Linked DNA regions of Xenopus tropicalis. The main gene of each other region encodes a partner of the protein of the gene in region 2 in a complex. Links are inferred from orthologs where the notes say so. Each region holds a gene or a part of one and is shown on either strand. Other genes may lie near its edges. The genes, in order: eif3g, eif3j and eif3f.

What was found.
Region 1: eif3j (region 2) and eif3g share a complex: the UniProt entries of both Homo sapiens proteins name them as parts of the eukaryotic translation initiation factor 3 (eIF-3) complex. The link is inferred for Xenopus tropicalis from reciprocal best matches to the Homo sapiens genes EIF3J and EIF3G.
Region 3: eif3j (region 2) and eif3f share a complex: the UniProt entries of both Homo sapiens proteins name them as parts of the eukaryotic translation initiation factor 3 (eIF-3) complex. The link is inferred for Xenopus tropicalis from reciprocal best matches to the Homo sapiens genes EIF3J and EIF3F.

The regions. Positions count from the first base shown.
Region 1 is NC_030679.2:137,087,560-137,097,976, reverse strand, and holds the end of eif3g (eukaryotic translation initiation factor 3 subunit G), read left to right. Parts: intron 1-3,219; coding exon 3,220-3,279; intron 3,280-3,461; coding exon 3,462-3,566; intron 3,567-3,856; coding exon 3,857-4,049; intron 4,050-4,327; coding exon 4,328-4,435; intron 4,436-5,079; coding exon 5,080-5,216; intron 5,217-6,520; coding exon 6,521-6,627; intron 6,628-7,049; coding exon 7,050-7,065; 3' UTR 7,066-7,150; downstream 7,151-10,417. UniProt on the Homo sapiens protein: RNA-binding component of the eukaryotic translation initiation factor 3 (eIF-3) complex, which is required for several steps in the initiation of protein synthesis.
Region 2 is NC_030679.2:118,211,665-118,222,181, reverse strand, and holds the start of eif3j (eukaryotic translation initiation factor 3 subunit J), read left to right. Parts: upstream 1-5,422; 5' UTR 5,423-5,484; coding exon 5,485-5,506; intron 5,507-8,085; coding exon 8,086-8,195; intron 8,196-10,517. UniProt on the Homo sapiens protein: Component of the eukaryotic translation initiation factor 3 (eIF-3) complex, which is required for several steps in the initiation of protein synthesis.
Region 3 is NC_030684.2:141,316,216-141,326,732, forward strand, and holds eif3f (eukaryotic translation initiation factor 3 subunit F), read left to right. Parts: upstream 1-4,090; 5' UTR 4,091-4,100; coding exon 4,101-4,248; intron 4,249-4,377; coding exon 4,378-4,448; intron 4,449-5,016; coding exon 5,017-5,096; intron 5,097-6,250; coding exon 6,251-6,388; intron 6,389-6,468; coding exon 6,469-6,560; intron 6,561-6,692; coding exon 6,693-6,829; intron 6,830-6,909; coding exon 6,910-7,023; intron 7,024-7,123; coding exon 7,124-7,201; 3' UTR 7,202-7,489; downstream 7,490-10,517. Other genes in the region: fcrlb (Fc receptor-like B), read right to left, coding at 3,199-3,226. UniProt on the Homo sapiens protein: Component of the eukaryotic translation initiation factor 3 (eIF-3) complex, which is required for several steps in the initiation of protein synthesis.

The DNA.
Region 1 (10,417 bases), about 19 Mb from region 2:
GTTTGCAAGCACAGAGGTCAAACGTTTCTTGTAATTGATGACCAAGTTTGCGCACATTTTAGGAGGAATGTTGGTCCCACTCCTCTTTGCAGATCATCTCTAAATCCCTAAGGTTTCGAGGCTGTCTCTGTGCAACTCTGAGCTTGAGCTCCCTCCATAGGTTTTCTATTGGATTAAGGTCCGGAGACTGACTAGGCCACTCCATGACCTTAATGTGCTTCTTCTTGAGCCACTCCTTTGTTGCCTTTGCTGTATGTTTTGGGTCATTGTCGTGCTGGAACACCCATCCACGACCCATTTTCAGTTTCCTGGCAGAGGAAAGGAGGTTGTCGTTCAGGATTTCACGATACATGGCTCCGTCCATTTTCCCGTTAATGCGAATAAGTTGTCCTGTGCCCTTAGCAGAAAAACACCCCCAAAGCAAAATGTTTCCACCCCCATGCTTGACGGTGGGGACGGTGTTTTGGGGGTCATAGGCAGCATTTTTCTTCCTCCAAACACAGCAAGTTGAGTTAATGCCAAAGAGCTCTATTTTGGTCTCATCAGACCACAGCGCCTTCTCCCAGTCACTCACAGAATCATTCAGGTGTTCATTGGCAAACTTCAGACGGGCCTGCACATGTGCCTTCTTGAGCAGGGGGACCTTGCGAGCCCTGCAGGATTTTAATCCATTGCGGTGTAATGTGTTTCCAATGGTTTTCTTGGTGACTGTGGTCCCTGCTAATTTGAGGTCATTAACTAGCTCCTCCCATGTAGTTCTAGGGTGCTTTTTCACCTTTCTCAGAATCATTGACACCCCACGAGGTGAGATCTTGCGTGGAGCCCCAGAGCGAGGTCGATTGATGGTCATTTTGTGCTCCTTCCATTTTCGAACAATCGCACCAACAGTTGTCACCTTCTCTCCCAGCTTCTTGCGAATGGTTTTGTAGCCCATTCCAGCCTTGTGCAGGTCTACAATTTTGTCTCTGACATCCTTGGACAGCTCTTTGGTCTTTCCCATGTTGGAGAGTTTGGAGTCTGCTTGATTGATTGATTCTGTGGACAGGTGTCTTTTATACAGGTGACTAGTTAAGACAGGTGTCCTTAATGAGGTTGACTAATTGAGTAGAAGTGTCTAACCACTCTGTGGGAGCCAGAACTCTTAATGGTTGGTAGGGGTTCAAAAACTTATTTCACTCAATGAAATGCAAATCAGTTGCTATCTTTTATTTAAAGTTATTTTTTCGATTTTCCTTTTGATGTGCTATCTGCCACTGTTAAAATAAACCTACCATTGAAATGATACTGTTCTGAGACTTTTCACTTACAAAATCAGTGAGGGGTCAAATAATTATTTCCTCCACTGTACATTGGGAGAGAAAGTAGGAAGATAACAAATAGGGCAGACAAAAAGGGAGAGCAGGAGAAGGCAGTATCAGTGCAGGTACTGGTGGGTTTTCTTAGCTTTATATTAATATCCACCAGTACCCAGTTGTGTGGCAATTAGATTTGTTTGTTGGGGGAAGGAACTGATCATGGTCAGTGGGGCCTGCTTTAGTACTGGAGTATACCTGGTAGATCCTAGTCTGGTTGGGTTTTTCTGCAGCACAGAGCTTTAACTCTTTGCTACCTTTTTCAGGTTGTACTTTTCATTTATTTCATTTCAAAATGAAAAATGGGAGGTTGTCTGGGAATGCTATAACCTCCGTTAATTTAGGCAGTGGGGTCAGGAAGAAGACAGAAGGTCAAATGTGTTGTTATAGATAAGCAGGAGAATCCATGGAGGCTGTTACTTGTGCAGAATTGGCTGAGTGGAAATGGCAAACCAATAGCTAAGGCATTAGGTAGGAAATATCAGCCCAAAGCAGCCGTAATCTGTGCCATAAACAGCCCAGGGACAGAGCAGTTTGGAGAGGAACGCAGCTTGTATCGTGTCACAGCCTTCTCTCTTGTGGTTTCTGTTAATGCAACTGTAGACTAAGAAGTGTTAACATAGTTGTGGCTTCAAGGACGTGGTTAAATGGGTTATAGTCAATGCTGGATTCCATTACCGACGCTTAGGCTAGAAAAATTACGTCCCTCAGTACCAAAGAAGTAGGGCAGCACTGCTGTAAATCACCATTCAATCAGTTTCAGCCCCTGAGGAAGGTGCCTTTTCTGCCTACCCCTAGTGCCAGCCCTGTAGTAAAGCAGCCCATATGTGAACAGATTGGGTAAGGCAGCACTGCTGATTTCCTAGCCATATGGACTCGTATGGGGCAGGTTCAGGGGTCCTGTGTACAGTTACATATATTATCTGCTAATGCACCATGTGACTGGGCACATGTTGGATTGGCAGATGAGGGGGGTAAAAAAGAGCAATGCCTCTTTACTCCCTACCATTTATATATTGTGTGCCAGTTGTACCATATCCATTCACTCAGCCTGCATACTGATTGGCTGGATACGGTAAAGGGTTGCTTAGTGTATGGCGGGCCTCCAGTACATCCTCAGGCCGGCTGCCTCCAGAGCTCTGCAAGCAGCTAGTGACACCCTGTGACTGTATGTACAACTCAGATAAGGCGGGTGGGGGTCTGTAATGTGCAAGGAACCTTAGTCAGACAATCAAGTTAGTATTTCTTACAAGATGCTATGGCTGCTGCCATTTGATTAGGTGCCTGGGGGGCTATTTTATGTCTTGCTGTACTGTACTTGAGTGGGAAAGCATAGTTACATAAATGTGGAACATAAAAATGAAAATTGTTATAGTTTGACCTTTTGAAAAGGTTATTTAGCAGAGTTGTTCATGGGCCAGTGATGAGTGTGTGTGTATATGTGTGTATATTTATATAGAATACACAATTTATTGTATAGATTATATTGCTATATTTCAACGTTATTAAGCTGTTTATCAACTAACAAAATTCATTATCTAACAGCGCCACCTGCAGGTCAGTTATTCCAACTGCAGCCTAACTGCTTTGAAATGTAAAAAAAAAGAGAATGTAAATTGCAGAAGTGCTTAGAAGGTTTACATACTTTAATTATAAAAGCCACTAAATTCTAAGTTGCGTATCTGTAAAGTTTTACTTATATTTCTAAACTCACTTTTTCTAGCTTAGAACAAAGCGCATTGCTGTAGGGGAGGAGCCTAGCATTGTTTTTGAAATCTACAGTTTCTCTCTAGTTGAATTGCCTGTGCACACATGTACAGTAACACCGTATTGCTCTTTATTAATAAACCTTTCTATTTCTTTGCAGATTGTTCGCACTTTTAAAATAGAAACACTCAAAGCATCCAAAGTTGTTGCTCATAGGAAGGTGAGAGGACAGGGGTGTCTGTAGAGAAAGGGTTAAATTGGAACATGCCAGCTGTTGGGATATGGGATAAGCCATATACTGTTGTTTGTGTTCTCTTGGGAAGCAATGGGACCTAAATAGATAACTTAGAATATAATAATGTTGAAGAGATCATCATCTTCCTTTTGTGTTTTACTTTCCAGAATTGGAAAAAATTTGGCAATTCAGAATATGATCCTCCTGGTCCAAATGTGGCCACCACCACAGTCAGCGACGATGTCCTGATGACATTTATCACCAGCAAAGAGGTCAGTATTGATCATTCCTTAATATGGATATCTGGTTCATCTTATGTGAATTTATTTTTTTTGTTCCTACTTCCCCTTTGTTCCAAACATGGATTCCATGGGCACTATTGCAATACAAACCTTCAGGTGTGCAAACTGCACCATCAGTACTCAGTATATACACATACACAATTGCAATATAAAAAGTGTATGGAATATTTGCATTCTGTACCCTCTTTGCCCCCTAAAAGAGGTTAACACACCTTCTTCTAGTAAACAGCTGTAACAGTCTGGATCTTTTCTCACTGCAGGATCTGAATAACCAAGAAGAAGAGGATCCAATGAATAAACTGAAGGGCCAAAAGATTGTATCTTGTCGAATCTGTAAGGGTGACCATTGGACCACAAGGTGCCCCTACAAGGACACACTGGGTCCCATGCAGAAAGAACTGGCTGAGCAGCTGGGATTGTCCACAGGAGACAAGGAGAAGGCACCAGGGGCAGGTAAGAGCCAACTTAGCTGCCCAGTTTGCATCCAGCCCCTAAGTGTACTCTGTATATCCTGTGGCAGTACCGTACTGTGTGTGTTTGTGTGCCACATTTGTGCTATGCATGTGTTGATTATTACTATTCACAACTGTGAAGAAAACCCTTCAAAATTCAATGAGATTTGCCACCATGACCTAGCCTTAATAGAACTCTATTGCATTATTTGATAGGCTGGACAGCCCATTGCCTTTATACAGTATGTTTAACCTGTATCCAATTTGTTGTCATTCTAGAGCCGGAGCCAGCCCAGGCACCTGTTAGCAAGACTGGAAAATATGTTCCCCCCAGCCTGAGAGACGGAGGAAGCAGGAGAGGGGAGTCTATGCAGCCTAATCGCAGAGGTATGATGATCACGTGGTGGTGAATACATAGCCCATAGTCAGTGCATGCTGTGACTGCGCTTCATTTGTTTTATTACCCAATATACACAACCATAAGGGTCTTTATTCCCTACTGCAGCAGCATGGACAGTGGCAGTTCATTCTTGTTCATAGTTTTGTGAATTCTTGTGCATACTGGGCCAGTAACACATTGTTTACCCAGTAAAATGATCCTGTAAACTGTAAACACACTAGGGGGTATGTTAGCTACTTATTGCCCATGAAAGCCCATTGCTACCTGGCTGATGGCAGGGAAAGTACCTGATGTACTTACATGCAGTTATAACTCTAACATACAGATGGCACTCTTGTAAAAAAAAAAAAAAAAAAAAAAATCCCATTTCAGCATATCTTGTATATAAAGCCAGTTTGTAGGACAAAGCAAGGCACTGCTGGCACTAGGCAGGTTGTTATAGACACAACATTGGCTTTGTCCACTTATAACCTGCTATTGGTAATAATATCACCTGGGGCCACTAATGAAGGAGCCGGGGGTGTTGGGACAAAGTTGCTATTGAAAAATGCTGCAAGTGTGTCACTCTGATGTATCACCCCATAGTTTGTACTGTCTCTGAATTTTATGATCTCCCACCTTTTCTCTGCAGCCGACGACAATGCCACAATCCGCGTCACAAACTTATCCGAAGACACACGGGAGACTGATCTCCAGGAGCTCTTTAGACCATTCGGATCGATTTCTCGAATCTACTTGGCCAAAGACAAGACCACCGGGCAGTCAAAGGTACAAACTGTTGCTGAGTGTTCTGATTGGCTCATCCTTGTTACTCTGTGGCTGGCCAGTCGGTGTTAGATGCCCTGTGCCTGCTGGGCTTTAAAATGAACACAGACTAGTGCTGGGCGGTATACCGGTATAAACCGAACACCGTTTTTTTTTTTAAAAAACTATATACATTTTTAACTTACCGGCATACCGGTGTGCGCGCCTCCTGGCAATTTTTCTTACTATTTCCGGGTTGTGCGCGCTGACGTCACGCGCGCAACCCGGAAATAGTAAGAAAAATTGCCAGGAGGCTCTACAAAAGCGCCGTCGCTAGGACGCATACCAATGTGAGCTGTCGGGGGTGCCTGCGGCTGCCTGGCAAGTCATTTATATTTATGTGAAGGGGTTGGGTGTTTGGGGTGGGGGGGGGGGGTGTTTGGGGTGGTCACCTAATCATGCATGGGGAAAAAAAAAATACCGTCAAATACCGTGATACCGATAAAATTTTGAAAAATACTGTGATATAAATTTTTGGTCATACCGCCCAGCACTAACACAGACACCATTAAATATGATCTTATGGGACAGCTGTCTTTTTTAACCATGTATTTATTATTAAAATAATGTCATGCATAAAGGTGGGAGAGTTAGGGAGCCATAACTATGTAAAGGAGAAATAAAGCTTAACTAAAGGAATAGGCTAGAAATGTTGTACATTATGTTTTGAGCTTCTGTACCAGCCTAAGGCAACCCCAGCCCTTTAGCAGGGAAGATCTGTGCCCCCAGTAGCCCCCAACCTCTTTTCTGCTGATTCCCTGCCCATACTCTAGCATATAAAATCTGGCATTTCTTGCCATATTCATTTTTAGGGTTTAGTTCTCCTTTAAGGGTTTCATCTGTCTCTACCTGTGCGTACATCCTGTTTTTAAGCAGAGGACTTTGTTTTTCCGTGAGTGTTTATCTGCTGATTCAGACGCAGATGTATATTCTCGGTTGTCTGAAAAGGGGAACATTGTGATTAAAAAAAAAGCCACCAAACGACAGTGGCTGTTACTTATCTGTTGAACCAAGAGAACTATTTGTAGCCTAGGTTTGTATTGCTACTGAGCCTTCCTCATCCTTTGTTTCTAGTCTGAGTTCTAGCAGAAGTTTTTGATTTATTTGTGGGGTAATTATTTTGGTTGGTGGAGCATGTGTCGGCCATTGCCAGGGAATGCTTGAGATCTGGAGGCTGGGCACCTAGGGGTTTATTAGGCTGTGCTTGGAGCTAAAGGGACACCCCTCCCCACTAATCCTTCATTTCTTTGTGATTTTTTCCCCCTCAGGGTTTTGCCTTCATCAGTTTCCACCGCCGAGAGGATGCAGCTCGCGCCATCGCAGGAGTCTCGGGCTTTGGCTATGATCATCTTATTCTCAATGTGGAATGGGCCAAGTATGTATACGCTGACTGCCTCCACTCCACTCTCATAGCTGGACTGTTTGCTCCAGTTCTTGTAACCCATAGGAGCTACCTTGAAAGCAAATACCTAATTGGTTGCTATGGGTTTCAAGACCTGAAGTAAATCTGAGCCTGGCTGTTATAACATTTTCCCATATGCTCCTGTTTATTGTATGAGGCTGAGGAGCCTTATTGTGAGTTCTTTGCTACCTGAAATAAGTTCATTCTGCTCCGTGGGCAAGGACTGATATGGCAGAAAAGCATCATGGGAAGTCCATGGGGTCGTCTGTGCGCATATTCCCCAAATTCTACCAGCCGTCTGCCAGACTAGACTATGAGGAACTGTCCCTACTCTATAGGAACTTCTTGTTTGCTGTCGCTCTGAGCTGATTTATTTTGCTTTTTCTCTTTTTCAGGCCCTCGACCAACTGATGGGAAGCAGCTTCCTGTGCGGCAGAGAAAGATGATTTTATAGTCTTGTGTTAGATTGCAGAGCAAATAAAAGAACTGAAAAGGCGATTGAGTCTGGTCTATTTTTACTCCTGGAATCTGTTCTGCTTTCTTTATTCATTTGTGTATTTTATTTTATACAATAGAAACATTAAAGGAGAACTTTGGGGTGAGACAAAGCTTTGACTAAATAACAAAATGGACACTGATTCCCTGCACATACTCTGTTCTGCTGTCACTTACCTGAGCTTAGGGGCCCGCTCACACTATACTGTATATACAGAATATAAATGGCACAATATAACCTGAGCTTAGGGACCCGCTCACACTATACTGTATATACAGAATATAAATGGCACAATATAACCTGAGCTTAGGGACCCGCTCACACTATACTGTATATACAGAATATAAATGGCACAATATAACCTGAGCTTAGGGGCCCGCTCACACTATACTGTATATACAGAATATAAATGGCACAATATAACCTGAGCTTAGGGACCCGCTCACACTATACTGTATATACAGAATATAAATGGCACAATATAACCTGAGCTTAGGGACCCGCTCACACTATACTGTATATACAGAATATAAATGGCACAATATAACCTGAGCTTAGGGACCCGCTCACACTATACTGTATATACAGAATATAAATGGCACAATATAACCTGAGCTTAGGGGCCCGCTCACACTATACTGTATATACAGAATATAAATGGCACAATATAACCTGAGCTTAGGGGCCCACTCACACTATACTGTATATACAGAATATAAATGGCACAATATAACCTGAGCTTAGGGGCCCACTCACACTATACTGTATATACAGGATATAAATGGCACAATATAACCTGAGCTTAGGGGCCCACTCACACTATACTGTATATACAGAATATAAATGGCACAATATAACCTGAGCTTAGGGACCCGCTCACACTATACTGTATATACAGAATATAAATGGCACAGTATAACCTGAGCTTAGGGGCCCACTCACACTATACTGTATATACAGAATATAAATGGCACAATATTACCTGAGCTTAGGGGCCCGCTCACACTATACTGTATATACAGAATATAAATGGCACAATATTACCTGAGCTTAGGGGCCCACGCACACTATACTGTATATATAGAAACTAAAAGGAATGATTATTCCAGATTCACACCATGATAGCTAGGAACCAGTGCATTCTGCACCAGCATCAGCTTCTAATGTTTTTATGATTTCTGACGACCCCTAAGCTTAGCTTCCCAACAGTAGCCCAGAGCCCCTGAGCAGCTTCCCTAAAACGGCTGAGCTTTTAGATACGAGATTAGGATCATTACTGTTCTAGAGCTGCTGAACCTTAGGCTGGTACGGTAAGCTCAGTACATAAAATAGAGCATTTCTAGCATTATTCTTTATTTTTCCTTTAATTTTCTTGTGCATAGTGGAGTCCAAGGTTTGTTAAGAATTTTTGTTCCCTTTCTGTTTATTTTATGCTGGTATCATATGCATTCCTTATTGTCTATATTTAGGTTATTTAAAGTTTCATGGCATCTGTTGGTGCAGGATGGGGTTCTGGATTAAGAGAGGGTCCATTGTGTATTATTAAAGCCTAAAGCAGTGATCCCCATCCAGTGGCTCAGGAGAAACATGTTCCTCCCGATGTTGCTCCCAGTGGCCTCAAAGCAGGTGATTATTTGTGAATTCCTGGCTTGGAGGCAAGTTTTGGTTGAATAAAAACCAGGGCTACTGCCAAACAGAGTCTCCTATAGGCTGCCAGCCCATATAGGGGCTCCCAGTCCCAGCCAATCACAGCCCTTACATGGTACCCACAGGTAAATCTGTTGCTCCCCATCTCCCTATACATATGGTGAGGTTCACGGGTAAAACAAGGTTGGGGACCCCAGGACTAAAGGCATAAGGGGAAGGAGGGGGGGAATTTTGCCCCTTACAGACACATCTGTTTTCACTGTTCTTATGTACAAGTTCCAGCATGTTCCGCATTGCTGTGCAAATAAAAGCTGAGCAGTGCTGCTTGTTGGAAGCTATAAAGTGAGACAGACCTGTAAAGCTGCCCATGAATGCCCAGAGTTGGCCGCTTTCAACTATTCTGCCTGACCATCTGGGCCTATACAGCCAGTCGGGGGTCCCTGCAGACCAATCACCCTGCAAGCCAGCTGGATGGAGGAATATAGGCTATGATGGAAAGTTTCTGTTGGTTGGCCGAATGGAAGTGAGGAGGAGCCATAGCTTTGCTCCTCCTCTTTGACTTGTTGTGACCATATTGGAGGTGGGTCCAAATAAAAAAGGAGGTCATAGAGAATTTACATTTACAAAGAATTAACATTTTTTGCAACGTTTTTTAGCAGCTTTGCAAATTATAACGTGAAACGGGACAGATTTGTTCATCACTAGTCAGGAGCAGCCAGTGGGGCTCATTTATAAACTTTGGTTGCTATTGGCGACAGCACTTGTGCAGTTAAGGACCTGTATGTGCCAGTTACATATAATGATCTGCACAGCTTCTAAAAGCCACTACAGACTGTGGGGCATATTTATTACAGTATATTATTAGTGTGTAATCTTTGCTTTTGTTTTCTAACTTGACCGTTCCGATCTAATTGCTGTTTGGTTGCTATGGGCAACATCGCCGGTGATGTTGGCTGACACTCTATAATAAATAAGCCCCTGTATATACATAGAGGGTATAGAGCAGGGATCCCCAACCTTTTATACCTGTGAGCCACATTCAAATGGGAAAAGGTGTTGGGGAACAACGCAAGCATGAAAATGGTTCCTGATGGTGCTAATAAGAGCAGTAAGTGGCTATTTAATAGCCTCTATGTGTACTGGCAGCCAACAGGGGGCTCTGTTTGGCATTATACTGAGTTTTTATTCAACCAAAACCTGCCCCCAAGCCAAGAATTTAAAAATAATCACCTACTTTGAGGCCACTGGGAGCAACACCCAAGGGGTTGGGGAGCAATATGTTCCTCCTGAGCCACTGGTTGGGGATCCCTGGTATAGAGCATATTCTGTCTGCAAACTACTCCTAATGTAACCAGCAGTGCTAAAGTAATTTGCCTTAAATAGTCAAATATGACTTTCCAGACCCCCCCCCCCCCCCATCCCTGTTAGAGATACATTGGTTGGAATATTCGCCGTATGGCAACGCTCACGCTGCTGACAGTATTTACTATTCCTACACGCAATGCAGGGGGGGCTCATACTGAGCCAGAAGATATTATCCCTTTTTGTGTTGCTGCTTTGTCAATAAAGGAAAGATCAAACAATGAAACATAAATAGTTTACTATTCCGGCCCAGCAGCT
Region 2 (10,517 bases):
CTGTCTACCAAAAAATCCTGAAGGAGAATGTCCGGCCATCTGTTCGTCAACTCAAGCTGAAGCGATCTTGGGTGCTGCAGCAGGACAATGACCCAAAACAAACCAGCAAATCCACCTCTGAATGGCTGAAGAAAAACAAAATGAAGACTTTGGAGTGGCCTAGTCAAAGTCCTGACCTGAATCCTATTGAGATGTTGTGGCATGACCTTAAAAAGGCGGTTCATGCTAGAAAACCCTCAAATAAAGCTGAATTACAACAATTCTGCAAAGATGAGTGGGCCAAAATTCCTCCAGAGCGCTGTAAAAGACTCGTTGCAAGTTATCGCAAACGCTTGATTGCAGTTAGTGCTGCTAAGGGTGGCCCAACCAGTTATTAGGTTCAGGGGGCAATTACTTTTTCACACAGGGCCATGTAGGTTTGGATTTTTTTTCTCCCTAAATAATAAAAACCCTCATTTAAAAACTGCATTTTGTGTTTACTTGTGTTATCTTTGACTAATAGTTAAATGTGTTTGATGATCAGAAACATTTTGTGTGACAAACATGCAAAAGAATAAGAAATCAGGAAGGGGGCAAATAGTTTTTCACACCACTGTATATTTCAGATTTTATCTTGTCGGATGAAGGCGCAGCATGAAGCGTTCCCTTCTTCAGGCATGTTGTCTCAGATGGCAATCCTTTTTATGTAGTTAACGCATCAGATTTTTGTATCAGTCCCATTGTATTTTAACCCATACAACTATATCCAACTTGCAGGGTGCATTCTGTCGATCCAACAACAGCCTGCAGAATCTCCCATGGAGTTTAGCCCTGAAAGTGAGGAGATCAGGATCTATTTCTCTGTACTTTAACTCATATCCCTATTAGAAAAGAAACAAGAATCTTTGTGCACTTCTAAAAGTTATGGGTTAAAATGTGTGCCACTGAAAAACCACTGGAATTGTCATGAAAGTGTATCTGCTTGTATGCATTTTTGTGCCGATATCTGCTCTATGTAGCTATACACAGGCTGCTGCCAGGAAGGATTAGCACCTGCCCAAATGGAAACTGTCTGTCTGGATTTCCAAATTATTAAATCAGTACAGATCTTTGAATTGATCGCTGATTTCCATGTCATAATCCCTCCCACTGATGTTGTATATCCAATCCTGTGGCAACCCTAATGGGCCTGTCAATGGAGCTATGGGGGTGTGCACATAAGAGATCACCTTTCCTCCATCTCTTAAAAAAAAAAGTGGATCCGCTTGCCCATAGTGCGCTGGGTTAGCCAGTGTGAACATGGAAGAAAAATATTATTACTAATATTAGTTGTAGTAGTAATAATAATATAGTTCATAGTACAATTGGCATGCAGTTGCAAGCATCTGTAAGAATAAGCGTATGGTATTGTATTACCATTTATATAAGAGACTCAAGGGGCATTTACTAACTTTCCTGTTTCTTCACAATTTGTGTTTTTTTGCTCTAAAACTCATTTTTTTTGTATAAAAAACACAAATCTTTTGTGATTTATTCAGTTTTTTGTGATTTATTTCGTTTTTTTTCCACTCATAAGTTTAGGAAGATTCCAGGAAAAATGTGAAAACCATGAAAGATTTGTTGTTTTCATGTTCATTTGTCTGTGCTTTTTTTATTTGGATCTTTTAACAAATGACTAGACATTTGTGGTTTTTGTGGAAATAAGTTTATTCGTAGTTTCAAAAAAAAAAACTCTAAAACCACTAAAATCAGTATGTTGATAAATCTGCCCCTTAGTTTTGATTTGCTAAGCTCTGAGTTCATAATAACATTCAGTTCTGAAACTTGTGCACTATACCGCTGGTGTTACCTTACATACCTGCTGCACTTAATGTGGGTGTGACAACTGATTTGGCTTTTAGATCCCTTGTGATGTTATAGATTGGAAGTGAAGATGATTTCTACATTGACCTTACAACACTATATGCAAGGGGTTTGTCAAAAACATACAAATATATGACTAGCTGGTTCCTCCATAAAACTCACCATAATGGGTGAGACACAGTGTTAAGCTTATGCTTTAGGGCTATGACACACGGGGAGGGTTCACCACCATTATATTTTAGCTCAGGGCTGTCTACGTTCAGCCTTGTGTGCCCCCCACATGTCTGGCTGCTGTGACTGCTTACCTTTCTGTAAGATTTATGGTATCAGTACTGAGATAAACTGCCCCCCGTGCATTATTCACACTTCAAATTCAGGCTGTAAACCCCTGTATTGTTTGCACCTGTATACTGCCTGTGTGTGTAATATTCTGCCTACCTTATAATGCCTGTGTGCTATACTCTGCCTGCCCTATGCTGCCTGTGTGTGCCATACTCTGCCTGCCCTAGGCTGCCTGTGTGTGCCATACTCTGCCTGCCCTAGGCTGCCTGTGTGTGCCATACTCTGCCTGCCCTAGGCTGCCTGTGTGTGCCATACTCTGCCTGCCCTAGGCTGCCTGTGTGTGCCATACTCTGCCTGCCCTAGGCTGCCTGTGTGTGCCATACTCTGTCTGCCCTATGCTGCCTGTCCTATGCTGCCTGTGTGTGCCATACTCTGCCTGCCCTATGCTGCCTGTGTGTGCCATACTCTGCCTGCCCTATGCTGCCTGTGTGTGCCATACTCTGTCTGCCCTATGCTGCCTGTGTGTGCCATACTCTGCCTGCCCTATGCTGCCTGTGTGTGCCATACTCTGCCTGCCCTATGCTGCCTGTGTGTGCCATACTCTGTCTGCCCTATGCTGCCTGTGTGTGCCATACTCTGCCTGCCCTACCCTGCCTGTGTGTGCCATACTCTGCCTGCCCTACGCTGCCTGTGTGTGCCATACTCTGCCTGCCCTAGGCTGCCTGTGTGTGCCATACTCTGCCTGCCCTAGGCTGCCTGTGTGTGCCATACTCTGCCTGCCCTAGGCTGCCTGTGTGTGCCATACTCTGCCTGCCCTATGCTGCCTGTGTGTGCCATACTCTGCCTGCCCTATGCTGCCTGTGTGTGCCATACTCTGCCTGCCCTATGCTGCCTGTGTGTGCCATACTCTGTCTGCCCTATGCTGCCTGTGTGTGCCATACTCTGCCTGCCCTATGCTGCCTGTGTGTGCCATACTCTGCCTGCCCTATGCTGCCTGTGTGTGCCATACTCTGTCTGCCCTATGCTGCCTGTGTGTGCCATACTCTGCCTGCCCTACCCTGCCTGTGTGTGCCATACTCTGCCTGCCCTACGCTGCCTGTGTGTGCCATACTCTGCCTGCCCTAGGCTGCCTGTGTGTGCCATACTCTGCCTGCCCTAGGCTGCCTGTGTGTGCCATACTCTGCCTGCCCTAGGCTGCCTGTGTGTGCCATACTCTGCCTGCCCTAAGCTGCTTGTGTGTGCCATACTCTGCCTGCCCTAGGCTGCCTGTGTGTGCCATACTCTGCCTGCCCTATGCTGCCTGTGTGTGCCATACTCTGCCTGCCCTATGCTGCCTGTGTGTGCCATACTCTGCCTGCCCTATGCTGCCTGTGTGTGCCATACCCTCCCTGCCCTATGCTGCCTGTGTGTGCCATACTCTGCCTGCCCTAGGCTGCCTGTGTGTGCCATACTCTGCCTGCCCTAGGCTGCCTGTGTGTGCCATACTCTGCCTGCCCTAGGCTGCCTGTGTGTGCCATACTCTGCCTGCCCTAGGCTGCCTGTGTGTGCCATACTCTGCCTGCCCTATGCTGCCTGTGTGTGCCATACTCTGCCTGCCCTATGCTGCCTGTGTGTGCCATACTCTGCCTGCCCTAGGCTGCCTGTGTGTGCCATACTCTGCCTGCCCTAGGCTGCCTGTGTGTGCCATACTCTGCCTGCCCTATGCTGCCTGTGTGTGCCATACTCTGCCTGCCCTAGGCTGCCTGTGTGTGCCATACTCTGCCTGCCCTAGGCTGCCTGTGTGTGCCATACTCTGCCTGCCCTATGCTGCCTGTGTGTGCCATACTCTGCCTGCCCTATGCTGCCTGTGTGTGCCATACTCTGCCTGCCCTAGGCTGCCTGTGTGTGCCATACTCTGCCTGCCCTATGCTGCCTGTGTGTGCCATACTCTGCCTGCCCTATGCTGCCTGTGTGTGCCATACTCTGCCTGCCCTATGCTGCCTGTGTGTGCCATACCCTCCCTGCCCTATGCTGCCTGTGTGTGCCATACTCTGCCTGCCCTAGGCTGCCTGTGTGTGCCATACTCTGCCTGCCCTAGGCTGCCTGTGTGTGCCATACTCTGCCTGCCCTAGGCTGCCTGTGTGTGCCATACTCTGCCTGCCCTAGGCTGCCTGTGTGTGCCATACTCTGCCTGCCCTATGCTGCCTGTGTGTGCCATACTCTGCCTGCCCTAGGCTGCCTGTGTGTGCCATACTCTGCCTGCCCTAGGCTGCCTGTGTGTGCCATACTCTGCCTGCCCTAGGCTGCCTGTGTGTGCCATACTCTGCCTGCCCTATGCTGCCTGTGTGTGCCATACTCTGCCTGCCCTATGCTGCCTGTGTGTGCCATACTCTGCCTGCCCTAGGCTGCCTGTGTGTGCCATACTCTGCCTGCCCTAGGCTGCCTGTGTGTGCCATACTCTGCCTGCCCTAGGCTGCCTGTGTGTGCCATACTCTGCCTGCCCTAGGCTGCCTGTGTGTGCCATACTCTGCCTGCCCTATGCTGCCTGTGTGTGCCATACTCTGCCTGCCCTATGCTGCCTGTGTGGGCCATACTCTGCCTGCCCTATGCTGCCTGTGTGTGCCATACTCTGCCTGCCCTAGGCTGCCTGTGTGTATGGTCATGGAACTCCAAAATTACATCTAATATCATAGTTTCATCAGATGCTACCCAATTTATTACAATACACAGCTTTAGTAGAATCACTTGAGGTTACATCACAAGACACAGAATGTAGCTGCCAACATCAATAATCCCTGTTTAAAAGAATATATTTTACAGAATATTCATGGCTCTTCTATACTATAACCTTTAGACTGCAGAAAATCTAAGAAACCCAGTAGCACTTATAGTCCAAAAATAAAAAAAAATCCCGGTCCTTCTCAGCAGTCCGAGTGCAAAACCCCTAAACATGCTGTTCCAATGCCTTGCCATGCGTTCATGTCCCAACATGGGAGAGGCACGACATTGGACCGATCCAGCTCGTAGCGGCCTTGAGCAAAACCGAAGGAGCGATCCAACCGTGTAAGTGCAGTTAGTACAGCAGCCAATAGAGAGACGCATGGGTGTCACGTGTTCTGCAGAAATGAGTTCCACAGCCAAAATGGCGCCTGCTCACGTGTCTCCTGCTCTGCGGCGCAAAGAACCAGGAGAAAGAGAAAAGTCTGGAATTCTTTTATTCCTCGTTTTTAGAATCAGGTCGGTCCCGCTGGGAGGACCAAGATGGCGCAGGGAGGCAGGGAGTTGTGACGCATTTCCGGTGAAAGTCTAAGCCGAACTCGCTGCACTGCGTGCGCATTCAGACGCGGTGAGTCAGTCAGAGCCGGAGCGGCAGCGGGAAAAATGGCGGAGAACGACAGCTGGGGTGAGACTGAACTGCATGTGGAGCGGCGTTACGGGCTCAAGCTCTGTCTGGCACAAGGCCGCTTCTTTTTCTCCTTGAGTGCCCAGTTTTAGTGGCGGTGCCCTGGCTTTATGTGTTTATATGTATCTCTCTTCTTCTGTACTTTCTCTATTCTGTGGGGGAGCGCACTCAGCCAGCCCTCGTGTGAGCGGGCCCTGTGTCAGTGTGTGTCCCTCCGCGGGCCCTGTGTCAGTGTGTGTCCCTCCGCGGCCCCTGTGTCAGTGTGTGTCCCTCCGCGGCCCCTGCCTAACCTTTCCCCTATTTGCCGGATCTCGGCTGCCGAACCGTACTGCTGCTTATTCTCAGCATGGCTCCCAGCTGCCTCTGTCCCGCCGGCCTTCTCCACTGGCTCCCCAGCAGGCTTAGTACAGCCGAGTTACCCAGGGACAAGGCAGCACATGTGCCCTTTGCTCCTATGCCTCATATAGGCTCGGTAGTGGGCAGCCAGAAGGCCAATGATATGGGGTGAGGCAGGGCTGCCCGCAGGCTGGAGCTTGGGCTGCTCGGTGAGTCTCCAGCTGCTACAGGCAGCGCTACCAGAACAGGCCACAAAGCGCTCCATTATCCCGTGTTCCCTATGGGTGTTGCTCATATAAGTGCAGCTCTGTCTCACCTATTCAGTGGCAGTGTGCCAGCTGGGCTGCTAGGCCCTCACTCACTACCTTCACTAAGGGTAGGCCCCAAATGGGTAAGGCATTGGCTCTCCCCTAACTGGGCCCTGTGTAGGGGCTTCACCATTGGCTGCTGGATGTGTGTTGAGAAGAGAAATAACCCCCCCCCCCCCCCATATATCTTACATTGCCATGTCATTTGTGCCTCTTCAGTGGCAATTAGACTTTCTTTGAAGCAATAACCTTTCAGTCAGGGGCTTTTGTATTCCCATTGCTTATGCTGGGCCTGTGTGCCTTGCCTCTAGTTGGCCTCCAGTTGTTTCATTCCATTACATCTGTTTTATCCAACTCACTTTCCTTCCATTACCTCTATCTCCTCTCCCTAATAGCCACCCCCTCCCAGTCGTGTCCCCGTCCCCTCCCAGTCGTGTCCCCGTCCCCTCCCAGTCGTGTCCCCGTCCCCTCCCAGTCGTGTCCCCGTCCCCTCCCAGTCGTGTCCCCGTCCCCTCCCAGTCGTGTCCCCGTCCCCTCCCAGTCGTGTCCCCGTCCCCTCCCAGTCGTGTCCCCGTCCCCTCCGCCAGTGAGTAATGTGACTGAGTGCAGCTGGCTCCCCGGGCTCTCTGTGCCGCAATATTGCTCATTATCTTGCTTACAAGAAGAAACACATTTTGCCCTGTAAGGGTGCCCAGTACAATATGGATATTATATTACACACTTTGACTTATTCTTTCTCTTTTTTTTTACTACATAGTAGTTTTCCAAATTCCTGTCCTCACTTGACGCCTTTCATCTTTGGGGCTTGTTGGGTTGCATTCATGCTTAGGTATCTTTTAACCCTGATTTAGCATATTTTTTTAATATAGAGGCCTCTTTATATTTTACCTCCTTGCCTAGCCATTACCTTTCTGTTAAATACTGATATTCTTCATAACTCTGACCATATTTTGTGCTAGTAAGCTAAACTGTACTTGTGATGTAATTATATTTCGCACTCCTACTGATAGGATGTGGCCTCAATGCCATCCAAATATTATTAATACTATGTACTTAGTTTCGGGCCGCATAAAGCACTCATGATGGGGTGCCAAGATTCATTTGCAGCAGCTACAGGTTCACATTCTGACCTTGGGTTTAGTTCATGGATACTGCTTCTTCTGAACTGACAATGTTTTTTTTATGACCCTCTTTTTAAGTTTTTGTTGCCAGATACCATGTGATTGTATGGGGTGTGTTATGAAAAGGAGCAAAGTTTTTTAGGTCTAATCACCAAAAACCAGCCAACCAGTAGAGGTAGCATTTACTGGCCTATTGTTTAAAAGCAAACATTGTATTAGTTTCTGTGGGTTAATTTACCTGGGTGAGCTTTATTCTTTATATTACATATGGAAGTTAAGTAATTTGCCACTGAGGTAAGTTGCCAGCAGTTAGTCTGTTCTTGTCTATCTTTTATAAACACCCTCTTCCTTTGTCCTCTGCATAAAGGTGCAGTATATACCCCTTTGTACAACATGAGCGCAATGAATAGGGCTTGTGCTTAACATACTTTTTGCCTATTAAGCACAAGTCTAAGGTTTTTGTTTTTTCTTGAGCCAAACAGGGAATTTGATGCATCTCCATTTTTAGTCCTTGCGAGTGCAATTATCAGTGCACAGATAAAAAGTTGTTCATTGTGCACATGGATTATCTGTGTGCTGGGAATCTGAGTACTGTATATACTTCACTGGGGCCAAACATGGAGTTTAGCTTGGAAAGTTTTTTGTGATTAAAACAGTAGGCAAAAAGAATGTTCAGCCCATTACACCCATTTTGGAAAAGTGGTTAATTTCCATTTTAATGCTAAAAGCTGAGCCTTTGATTAATACTGGCACAGCAATGTTTTGACTTAGTCTCTTATTTTTGGTCCCTGATTTTTTTTCTCTCCATGTACAGATGCTGATGATTTTGAGCCAGAAGTTTCAAATCAGAAGGGTGCTGTGTCAGGCCCACCACCGGCAGGAAGAGATCGTTGGGAGGGAGAGGACGAGGAGGAGGATGTTAAGGTACTGTAATTAACATTCATTATGTCATTAGGTTGCATTTGCTTGGTTGTGTTGGTGATGTACATGTATGCTTAGTAGATTTTACCACTTTCTAAAAAGGAGGCTTATTATGTGCATATTGTATGACAGAATTTTGCCACATCAGTGTTTATTTGTATTAAATTGTATTGAATAAGAATAAAGTCTGTATTTGACATATGTTAATGTTTGTTCTAAGCAAGCTTATTAAATATGGCAGCCGCCTTATTAAGCGTTATCATGGAGATATCATGTTCTCTACCCATAGGTTACAACTCTGCTCTAGCAGCAGCTTTTGACTTACAGACCATGGTGTATGACTGTATATCACTTTGTATCATTGACTGAATAAGAAAATGTCAAGTTGGAGAGCGTACTCAGTGCTGAAGCTACTCCTGAAAAATAGCAGCAAACTAATAAATCAAATTTTAATAGTTTAGAGAGTTGGCAACTAAGCTCCCGGAACTGCTTTTAGGCAATTAGGTTAAAATCACTGTAGAACTCTGCATCAGAAGTTTGTTTGGTTAAACCTGTGTTTTCCAAACTGTCGGGTTGTCTTCTCTGAGGGTGGACTGTAAGTAGTGGCAAGGGGGGAGATCAGCCTGAAGGGCAGTTATGTTGAGGGGAGAATGGCCATTTGCTCTTAGATACACTAAAATCACAGGTTGCTGCACCGTTAGAATAAGATTTGTGGTGAATATGAGACATTACTGTTTGCTTTTGTATCTGACCTGTGTGCTCAGGATCAAAAGCAAACTAAAGCTGGCCATACACGCACCGATACTATCGTACGAAACCTCGTTTCGTGCGATATTCGGTGCGTGTATGGCATGTCGGCGAGTCGACCAATATCGCAGGAAGCTGCTGATAACGGTCGACTCGCCGATCGGACCGGTTAAAAGGTTTTGATCTGGCGCCATAGAAGGCACCTGACCAAAATCTGCAGTCAGGGCTGAATTGGCAGAAGGAGGTAGAAATCCTATTGTTTCTACCTCCTTATCTCCTGTTTCAGCCCTGACGGTGTGTGGCGGATCTGACGATGTTTCATGCGACCGATGGTCGCCACGTGTGTGGCCACCTTAACTGAACAGTATTGTCCCATGTGGGCCCCCACCTCAAGTTACTGACAAACCAAAGCTGGCCATATGCCAAACAAGCGAATCTTCTCCCAATATGCCCAATATACCTAAGGTTGGTGATATTGGGCTAATTTGATCATTTGGCCCCCTAAGTCCAATTGTCGGCCAGATATTGATCTGGTAGGCCCCATACATGGGCGGATAAGCTGCCGAATCGGTCTAAAGTATTGCCCGTGTAAGGGGAAAGTAGTGTTCTGGCTATTAAGACATCCACCCACTCTAGCCTTTATAGATTACATTTTGGCTAACTATGTTATAGAAACATTTATCTTGCACAGCCTATGTATTTACCAAGCTTTATTTTCAGACTGTTCCTTTAACTGAGAGTTTGCCAACCTCTGATTTAGCCCATGTTCTGAGCAACATGAAAACAATGAAGGAATGAATGAATTTGCCTTGTACGGGCAATAACTTCTGTGATTACATTTTTGCAAGGTTTAGAAGCCACCTTATGGTGTTTGTTAGTGTTTCTGTTCTGCCTGTGTGTGGCAATAGTTGCCTGTCAGTGCTCCAGTTATTTCAGTCCACGCCCTGTCATGGGAGGGGGGGGTTATCTAAGTTTCTGAAGAGCTTTGAAAAGAGATAAAGAGGATTATAAAGTAAGGACTATTTTTTTGGTCACTTTGCAAAAATGTTTTTTTTTCTAGTGTGGATTAAAAAAAACCCACAGGGACACCATTAATTCCATCCTAGCTGGCTAATAGCATAAAGTGGGGCTCATTTACTTACACTTAACACATTTGCCCCAGTGCAGTAACCCATAGCAACCAATCAGCATAATTAAAGCAGACCTATCTTTAGTAGGCTGCTGAAAGTTAATTGGTGTCAAATTGCCTTGGGATACTAATTACTATGGTACTGCTAGTAATTGTGCCCCAGTATGGATTCTGTGGACAGATGTAGGTGTTGCTTATAAGAGGGTTTTACAAGCAAGTCATCTGGGTCAAATTTTCACCCTTGTACAACATCCCTAAAATGTTGTATTTTTTTCCCGCCTCTCCTTATTTTTAATTCTTTAGTTAAACTTGTTTAGTCCCACTGCAGCCTTTGCCCCGTTCTGCCTTGCCCAGATGTGCATTGAGATTTGGCAGTGGCTTATCTTATGCAGTTGGCCTCTACAGGCCACACTATTGTCTGTGCAGACAGTGCTTTCTGATAAGGAGAC
Region 3 (10,517 bases), on a different chromosome or scaffold from region 2:
TGCTTTATGGCTGAGATTCTAGCTATCTGTATAACAGAGCATTCTGTCACAGTGGCACAGACCCTATCTGATCCCCCCCATTGTAAGCAGCAGTCCTGCCCTGCTTTATGGCTGAGATTCTAGCTATCTGTATAACAGAGCATTCTGTCACAGTGGCACAGATCCTATCTGATCCCCCCCATTGTAAGCAGCAGTCCTGCCCTGCTTTATGGCTGAGATTCTAGCTATCTGTATAACAGAGCATTCTGTCACAGTGGCACAGATCCTATCTGATCCCCCCATTGTAAGCAGCAGTCCTGCCCTGCTTTATGGCTGAGATTCTAGCTATCTGTATAACAGAGCATTCTGTCACAGTGGCACAGATCCTATCTGATCCCCCCATTGTAAGCAGCAGTCCTGCCCTGCTTTATGGCTGAGATTCTAGCTATCTGTATAACAGAGCATTCTGTCACAGTGGCACAGATCCTATCTGATCCCCCCCATTGTAAGCAGCAGTCCTGCCCTGCTTTATGGCTGAGATTCTAGCTATCTGTATAACAGAGCATTCTGTCACAGTGGCACAGATCCTATCTGATCCCCCCCATTGTAAGCAGCAGTCCTGCCCTGCTTTATGGCTGAGATTCTAGCTATCTGTATAACAGAGCATTCTGTCACAGTGGCACAGATCCTATCTGATCCCCCCCATTGTAAGCAGCAGTCCTGCCCTGCTTTATGGCTGAGATTCTAGCTATCTGTATAACAGAGCATTCTGTCACAGTGGCACAGATCCTATCTGATCCCCCATTGTAAGCAGCAGCCCTGCCCTGCTTTATGGCTGAGATTCTAGCTATCTGTATAACAGAGCATTCTGTCACAGTGGCACAGATCCTATCTGATCCCCCCCATTGTAAGCAGCAGTCCTGCCCTGCTTTATGGCTGAGATTCTAGCTATCTGTATAACAGAGCATTCTGTCACAGTGGCACAGATCCTATCTGATCCCCCCATTGTAAGCAGCAGTCCTGCCCTGCTTTATGGCTGAGATTCTAGCTATCTGTATAACAGAGCATTCTGTCACAGTGGCACAGATCCTATCTGATCCCCCATTGTAAGCAGCAGCCCTGCCCTGCTTTATGGCTGAGATTCTAGCTATCTGTATAACAGAGCATTCTGTCACAGTGGCACAGATCCTATCTGATCCCCCCCATTGTAAGCAGCAGTCCTGCCCTGCTTTATGGCTGAGATTCTAGCTATCTGTATAACAGAGCATTCTGTCACAGTGGCACAGATCCTATCTGATCCCCCCCATTGTAAGCAGCAGTCCTGCCCTGCTTTATGGCTGAGATTCTAGCTATCTGTATAACAGAGCATTCTGTCACAGTGGCACAGATCCTATCTGATCCCCCCCATTGTAAGCAGCAGTCCTGCCCTGCTTTATGGCTGAGATTCTAGCTATCTGTATAACAGAGCATTCTGTCACAGTGGCACAGATCCTATCTGATCCCCCCATTGTAAGCAGCAGTCCTGCCCTGCTTTATGGCTGAGATTCTAGCTATCTGTATAACAGAGCATTCTGTCACAGTGGCACAGATCCTATCTGATCCCCCCATTGTAAGCAGCAGTCCTGCCCTGCTTTATGGCTGAGATTCTAGCTATCTGTATAACAGAGCATTCTGTCACAGTGGCACAGATCCTATCTGATCCCCCCCATTGTAAGCAGCAGTCCTGCCCTGCTTTATGGCTGAGATTCTAGCTATCTGTATAACAGAGCATTCTGTCACAGTGGCACAGATCCTATCTGATCCCCCCATTGTAAGCAGCAGTCCTGTCCTGCTTTATGGCTGAGATTCTAGCTATCTGTATAACAGAGCATTCTGTCACAGTGGCACAGATCCTATCTGATCCCCCCCATTGTAAGCAGCAGTCCTGCCCTGCTTTATGGCTGAGATTCTAGCTATCTGTATAACAGAGCATTCTGTCACAGTGGCACAGATCCTATCTGATCCCCCCCATTGTAAGCAGCAGTCCTGCCCTGCTTTATGGCTGAGATTCTAGCTATCTGTATAACAGAGCATTCTGTCACAGTGGCACAGATCCTATCTGATCCCCCATTGTAAGCAGCAGTCCTGCCCTGCTTTATGGCTGAGATTCTAGCTATCTGTATAACAGAGCATTCTGTCACAGTGGCACAGATCCTATCTGATCCCCCCATTGTAAGCAGCAGTCCTGCCCTGCTTTATGGCTGAGATTCTAGCTATCTGTATAACAGAGCATTCTGTCACAGTGGCACAGATCCTATCTGATCCCCCCATTGTAAGCAGCAGTCCTGCCCTGCTTTATGGCTGAGATTCTAGCTATCTGTATAACAGAGCATTCTGTCACAGTGGCACAGATCCTATCTGATCCCCCCCCATTGTAAGCAGCAGTCCTGCCCTGCTTTATGGCTGAGATTCTAGCTATCTGTATAACAGAGCATTCTGTCACAGTGGCACAGATCCTATCTGATCCCCCATTGTAAGCAGCAGTCCTGCCCTGCTTTATGGCTGAGATTCTAGCTATCTGTATAACAGAGCATTCTGTCACAGTGGCACAGATCCTATCTGATCCCCCCATTGTAAGCAGCAGTCCTGCCCTGCTTTATGGCTGAGATTCTAGCTATCTGTATAACAGAGCATTCTGTCACAGTGGCACAGATCCTATCTGATCCCCCCATTGTAAGCAGCAGTCCTGCCCTGCTTTATGGCTGAGATTCTAGCTATCTGTATAACAGAGCATTCTGTCACAGTGGCACAGATCCTATCTGATCCCCCCATTGTAAGCAGCAGTCCTGCCCTGCTTTATGGCTGAGATTCTAGCTATCTGTATAACAGAGCATTCTGTCACAGTGGCACAGATCCTATCTGATCCCCCCCCATTGTAAGCAGCAGTCCTGCCCTGCTTTATGGCTGAGATTCTAGCTATCTGTATAACAGAGCATTCTGTCACAGTGGCACAGATCCTATCTGATCCCCCCATTGTAAGCAGCAGTCCTGCCCTGCTTTATGGCTGAGATTCTAGCTATCTGTATAACAGAGCATTCTGTCACAGTGGCACAGATCCTATCTGATCCCCCCATTGTAAGCAGCAGTCCTGCCCTGCTTTATGGCTGAGATTCTAGCTATCTGTATAACAGAGCATTCTGTCTGAAGAGATAAGGAATATAAGAATAATATGGCTCTTACCAATAATGACCAGGATCAGAGCCGCCATGCCGGCAGAAGCAGAAGGCACTCAGTGGGTCGGGCTGTATATAAACCCTGTTAGTTCTGTATTTGGCTCTATGTATAGAACATTTCACAACTCCCTACTCTTCCCAAACAGGGATGAAGGTTCCTTAACCCTTAAACCCCCCCCAGAGATACAGGACACTCACTGATTGGTTGTTTCTGATACTCCAGATTCCTAATCGTTTAGTGTGTTCTAAAAGGTCCTGTACGAAGCAGCCTGACAATTGGTCTTTTTTTATTCGACATTATTAGCCTTATTATTCTGTATCTTTCCAAAATGCTGCTTTGTTTGGGTTGGGGGGGGGGGTCAATTCAAGTTTCCCTTTATTTTTGTGATCAATAAACTTGAATTAGACAATATTTTTTATTGAAGTTTTAATAAATTACCCACAGTTGATTAAACAATTATATTTATTTGGCTTGTGAGGAGCTTCCCTCCCCTATGGCAGAGGTATATACTAAATATATACCAATATTTATATATAAATGTGTTTTTCAGAAACCTGAACTGGAAACGTCCACCTAATGGTTAATACTGAGATAGATAGAGACCTGGGCAGCTCCACATAAACATTAAACACCAGAACTCCCTGTATATAAGAACATTGGGAGGCGTACAGCCAATCGCAGCAATATTATTTTTGATGGACTGCTTTATGACCAATCACAGTAAAGCATTGCGCCTCGAAGGCGTCCCTCCGTAAGCGCCAATCAGGAACAAAGCGACGCGCCTAGCGTCGACGTTCCCGGCGTACGTGCAAGCACTTCCTGTATGTGGTCCAATCGGAATGCGGCGTTTTGTGACTCACTGAAGCCCCGCCCATGATCCCCCCTCTTGCGCGTCTGCCCTAGTTAAGATGGCGGCTGCCGGCTCTCTATCCGCGGCGGGATCAGCCATGCTGCACGGTCCGGTAGTGAAGGTCCATCCGGTGGTCTTAGCCTCCATCGTGGACAGTTATGAGAGGAGAAACGAAGGAGCCGGGCGGGTTATTGGCACCCTTTTGGGTAAGGGGGGGCCCTGGTTACCGTGGGGGGGTATAAGTGACGGGAGCCGCAGTGGGACAAAAAGGGTTCGTTGTGACAAGAGCTGTATTCAGTACTGAGATGTAACCATTGGTTGTTGTGTGATTACAGGGACGACAGACAAACACTCAGTGGAGGTGACCAACTGCTTCTCCGTCCCGCACAATGAGTCTGAGGATGAGGTTTGTACCATTAATAATAATATGTGGGGGTGTTTATTCAGGTGGGTGCTGCCCCCCCCCCCACTGGGCACATACAGCGGCCCTATGGCTTCAGTTTGGGGTTCAGACCGTTATTGGGTGTGTAGGTGTCTCCTACCGAGTCCGGGCTCTGACTCCTGAACCAATGTAGCTGGCTGGTAATTGGCTGCCTTGGGCTATAATGTGTTGGCAGTCAGTAGCAGCAGTGCGGGGAATCCATAGAAACTATATTTAATAACATTTGGGAAATGTACGTGTATATTGGGGAGTATTGGGGGAGTTTCCCCTGAATCACTTGCTGTAGCCTGAGTAGTGTGGGGGTTGGTCTGGGCCAGCGGGACACTGGGGGAAAAGCCTGATGGGCCCACCAACCCAGACCCAATCCCCACTGCCCCCCTCCCTTCCCCCGATTACACCCAGGGGAGTCTCAGATATACATACTCGGGGGAGGGCAGGGTAGGGTGAGAGTTGTGTCGGGCCCGCACACCCCATTCCTACCCTGTGTAGTGTTGCCCTGCTCAGTATTTCATGCCCTCTGTAATTACCCCAGGTGGCTGTCGACATGGAGTTTGCCAAGAACATGTACGAGCTGCATAAGAAAGTTACCTCCACTGAGCAGATTGTGGGCTGGTAAGTGGTACTTCCCATCCCCCCCTGCCCCAGTGTGTGTGGCGCCTCCCGTCCCCCCCCTGCCCCAGTGTGTGTGGCGCCTCCCGTCCCCCCCTGCCCCAGTGTGTGTGGCGCCTCCCGTCCCCCCTGCCCCAGTGTGTGTGGCGCCTCCCGTCCCCCCCTGCCCCAGTGTGTGTGGCGCCTCCCGTCCCCCCCTGCCCCAGTGTGTGTGGCGCCTCCCGTCCCCCCCTGCCCCAGTGTGTGTGGCGCCTCCCGTCCCCCCCTGCCCCAGTGTGTGTGGCGCCTCCCGTCCCCCCCTGCCCCAGTGTGTGTGGCGCCTCCCGTCCCCCCCCTGCCCCAGTGTGTGTGGCGCCTCCCGTCCCCCCTGCCCCAGTGTGTGTGGCGCCTCCCGTCCCCCCCTGCCCCAGTGTGTGTGGCGCCTCCCGTCCCCCCCTGCCCCAGTGTGTGTGGCGCCTCCCGTCCCCCCCTGCCCCAGTGTGTGTGGCGCCTCCCGTCCCCCCTGAGCCCAGTGTGTGTGGCGCCTCCCGTCCCCCCTGAGCCCAGTGTGTGTGGCGCTTCCCGTCCCCCCTGAGCCCAGTGTGTGTGGCGCTTCCCGTCCCCCCTGAGCCCAGTGTGTGTGGCGCTTCCCGTCCCCCCTGAGCCCAGTGTGTGTGTGGGGCGCTTCCCGTCCCCCCTGAGCCCAGTGTGTGTGTGGGGCGCTTCCCGTTCCCCCTGAGCCCAGTGTGTGTGTGTGGCGCTTCCCGTCCCCCCCTGAGCCCAGTGTGTGTGTGTGTGTGTGTGTGGCGCTTCCCGTCCCCCCCTGAGCGCAGTGTGTGTGTGTGGCGCTTCCCGTCCCCCCCCTGCCCCAGTGTGGTGTGTGGCGCTTCCCGTCCCCCCCTGCCCCAGTGTGTGTGTGTGTGGCGCTTCCCGTCCCCCCTACCCCAGTGTGTGTGGCGCTTCCCGTTCCCCCCGAGCCCAGTGTGTGTGGCGCTTCCCGTTCCCCCCGAGCCCAGTGTGTGTGTGGCGCTTCCCGTTCCCCCCGAGCCCAGTGTGTGTGTGGCGCTTCCCGTTCCCCCCGAGCCCAGTGTGTGTGTGGCGCTTCCCGTTCCCCCCGAGCCCAGTGTGTGTGTGGCACTTCCTGTCCCCTGAGCCGTGTGTGTTCTGATACGTTGCAGGTACGCCACAGGAAATGACATCACCGAGCACTCTGTTCTGATCCATGAGTACTACAGCCGCGAGGCCACCAATCCCATTCACATGACGGTGGATACCAGCCTGCAGGGGAACCGTATGAACATAAAGGCCTATATCAGGTACGGGGGCGCCAACCTCCCTCCCAACAAGCGTATGGGACGTTCCATTGGCTGAATGCCTCTCCTGCTCTTTCCCACAGCTCCCCGATGGGCGTTCCCGGCAAAACCATGGGCGTCATGTTCACCCCTCTCACCGTGCAGTATGTCTACTATGACACAGAGCGGATAGGAGGTGAGTGCCTGGTACCTGCGAGCCCTCTGGCGCCTCTAGTGGCAGCCGGGGTTCCAAGCCTGTAGGGTTTGTAGCTTTCATGCCCGCGATGCCCTACAGCATGTATATATAATCCCGTCTGTCTCCTCACAGTGGATCTGATCACCAAGACCTGCGCCAATCCCAACCGCTCCATTGGCCTGACCACTGACCTGCAGCAGGTGGGGGTGGCGGCTAACAGACTGCAGGATTCCCTCAGCACGGTACTGCAGTATGCCGAGGATGTACTGGTGAGTGCAGCTCCCATCACCCCCTCTGATTGGTTCTTACTCCCCGTTCACCCTTAACCCCTGTCTCTCTCTCTCGGAAGTCGGGGAAGGTGACGGCAGACAACACAGTCGGGCGCTTCCTGATGGATCTGGTCACCCAGGTTCCTAAGATCGACCCAGAAGACTTTGAGGCCATGTTGAACAGCAACATTAATGTAAGTGGGTCGGGCCCGACACCCACAATGCACTGCAGGCTCCGTTATACAGACTGTTGGGGTATTGGGGTTCTTATTGTTCTTTGTGTTCCGTTCCCAGGATCTTCTGATGGTCACTTACCTGGCCAACCTGACCCAGTCCCAGATCGCCCTGAATGAGAAGCTCCTCAACCTGTAACCGGCTCCGACCCGTGTTTTTACTTGGACTTGACCGACCGACGCACATTCGACGCCCAATAGAGGTGCATTCTGGGGGATTGAGACTGTTCCTATTAAATTATATTCACAGGGGATTAAAGGGCTGGGTGGGCTGCAGCAAGAACATCTATTCTGTCCCCTCCCCGTACGGAGCCCCCGATATCTCATTATGTTACAGCATCTGTCCAGCAGGGGGGGTAATTGCATTCCCTGGCAGCACAGTCACCAAAGTGTATTTTGTGGATTAATAAATAAATTAGAAAAACCACTTCATTCTATTTATTTCTCTAACCATTATGTGTATGTGCGCTGGGGGTAACTGGGCAGCAGATTATTCAAGCAGCTTCCTCCTCAGGGTTCATCTTCCTCATAGGTACCATTTCTTTTCATGTGTTTTCCCTTAATAAGACACTGGGGCTCGCTAATCAACACTTGCCCATGGGTAGTAACCCATAGCAACCAATTAGTGATTAGCTTTTTCAGCCAGCTGCATGTATATGACCCCAGCTGAGTGCTGCACAGTTTAGCCACTAGATGGCAGCAGAGGGATATCATTGCATTTTATGTTGCCAGACAACATCGGGCATGCAGTGGGGGGGCCCAAATGATTGTGGGAATTATGTACCTCCCAGCCCCCATAATGTTACCTCCCAGGTCAGTGTGAATCAAATACAGACTCGGTAAGGTTAGGAACACCCCAAAAACTGTATGTAGTATGTAGGTATATAGCCAAGGCTGGGAGAGCACTCCACTATACGGATAGGGGCTCATAGGGGGGCTATTAAGAGAGAGATATATGAGAGTATACAGATAGGGGGGCTATTAAGAGAGAGATATATGAGAGTATACAGATGGGGCACATAGGGGGGCTATTAAGAGAGAGAGATATGAGAGTATACGGATAGGGGGGCTATTAAGAGAGATATGAGAGTATACGGATAGGGGGGGCTATTAAGAGAGAGATATGAGAGTATACAGATAGGGGGGCTATTGAGAGAGATATGAGAGTATACAGATAGGGGGGCTATTAAGAGAGAGATATATGAGTATACGGATAGGGGGGCTATTAAGAGAGAGATATGAGAGTATACGGATAGGGGGGCTATTAAGAGACAGATATATGAGAGTATACGGATAGGGGGGCTATTAAGAGAGAGATATATGAGAGTATACAGATGGGGCACATAGGGGGGCTATTAAGAGAGAGATATATGAGAGTATACGGATAGGGGGGCTATTAAGAGAGAGATATGAGAGTATACGGATAGGGGGGCTATTAAGAGAGAGATATGAGAGTATACGGATAGGGGGGCTATTAAGAGAGAGATATGAGAGTATACGGATAGGGGGGCTATTAAGAGAGAGATGAGAGTATACGGATAGGGGGGGCTATTAAGAGAGAGATATGAGAGTATACAGATAGGGGGGCTATTAAGAGAGAGATGAGAGTATACGGATAGGGGGGGCTATTAAGAGAGAGATATGAGAGTATACGGATAGGGGGGCTATTAAGAGAGAGATATGAGAGTATACGGATAGGGGGGCTATTAAGAGAGAGATATGAGAGTATACGGATAGGGGGGCTATTAAGAGAGAGATGAGAGTATACGGATAGGGGGGGCTATTAAGAGAGAGATATGAGAGTATACGGATGGGGGGCTATTAAGAGAGAGATATGAGAGTATACGGATAGGGGGGCTATTAAGAGAGAGATATGAGAGTATACGGATAGGGGGCTATTAAGAGAGAGATGAGAGTATACGGATAGGGGGGGCTATTAAGAGAGAGATATGAGAGTATACGGATAGGGGGGCTATTAAGAGAGAGATGAGAGTATACGGATAGGGGGGCTATTAAGAGAGAGATATGAGAGTATACAGATAGGGGGGCTATTGAGAGAGATATGAGAGTATACAGATAGGGGGGGCTATTAAGAGAGAGATATATCAGTATATGGATAGGGGGGCTATTAAGAGAGAGATATGAGAGTATACGGATAGGGGGGCTATTAAGAGAGAGATATGAGAGTATACGGATAGGGGGGCTATTAAGAGAGAGATATGAGAGTATACGGATAGGGGGGCTATTAAGAGAGAGATATGAGAGTATACAGATAGGGGGGCTATTAAGAGAGAGATGAGAGTATACGGATAGGGGGGGCTATTAAGAGAGAGATATGAGAGTATACAGATAGGGGGGCTATTAAGAGAGAGATATATGAGTATACGGATAGGGGGGCTATTAAGAGAGAGATATGAGAGTATACGGATAGGGGGGCTATTAAGAGACAGATATATGAGAGTATACGGATAGGGGGGCTATTAAGAGAGAGATATATGAGAGTATACGGATAGGGGGGCTATTAAGAGAGAGATATGAGAGTATACGGATAGGGGGGCTATTAAGAGAGAGATATGAGAGTATACGGATAGGGGGGCTATTAAGAGAGAGATATGAGAGTATACAGATAGGGGGGCTATTAAGAGAGAGATGAGAGTATACGGATAGGGGGGGCTATTAAGAGAGAGATATGAGAGTATACAGATAGGGGGGCTATTGAGAGAGATATGAGAGTATACAGATAGGGGGGCTATTAAGAGAGAGATATATGAGTATACGGATAGGGGGGCTATTAAGAGAGAGATATGAGAGTATACGGATAGGGGGGCTATTAAGAGACAGATATATGAGAGTATACGGATAGGGGGGCTATTAAGAGAGAGATATGAGAGTATACGGATAGGGGGGCTATTAAGAGAGAGATATGAGAGTATACAGATAGGGGGGCTATTAAGAGAGAGATATATGAGAGTATACGGATAGGGGGGCTATTAAGAGAGAGATATGAGAGTATACAGATAGGGGGGCTATTAAGAGAGATATATATGAGAGTATACGGATAGGGGGGCTATTAAGAGACAGATATATGAGAGTATACGGATAGGGGGGCTATTAAGAGACAGATATATGAGAGTATACGGATAGGGGGGCTATTAAGAGAGATATGAGAGTATACAGATAGGGGGGCTATTAAGAGAGAGATATATGAGAGTATACGGATAGGGGGGCTATTAAGAGAGAGATATGAGAGTATACGGATAGGGGGGGCTATTAAGAGAGATATATGAGAGTATACGGATAGGGGGGGCTATTAAGAGAGATATATATGAGAGTATACGGATAGGGGGGCTATTAAGAGAGAGATATGAGAGTATACGGATAGGGGGGGCTATTAAGAGAGATATATATGAGAGTATACGGATAGGGGGGCTATTAAGAGAGAGATATGAGAGTAT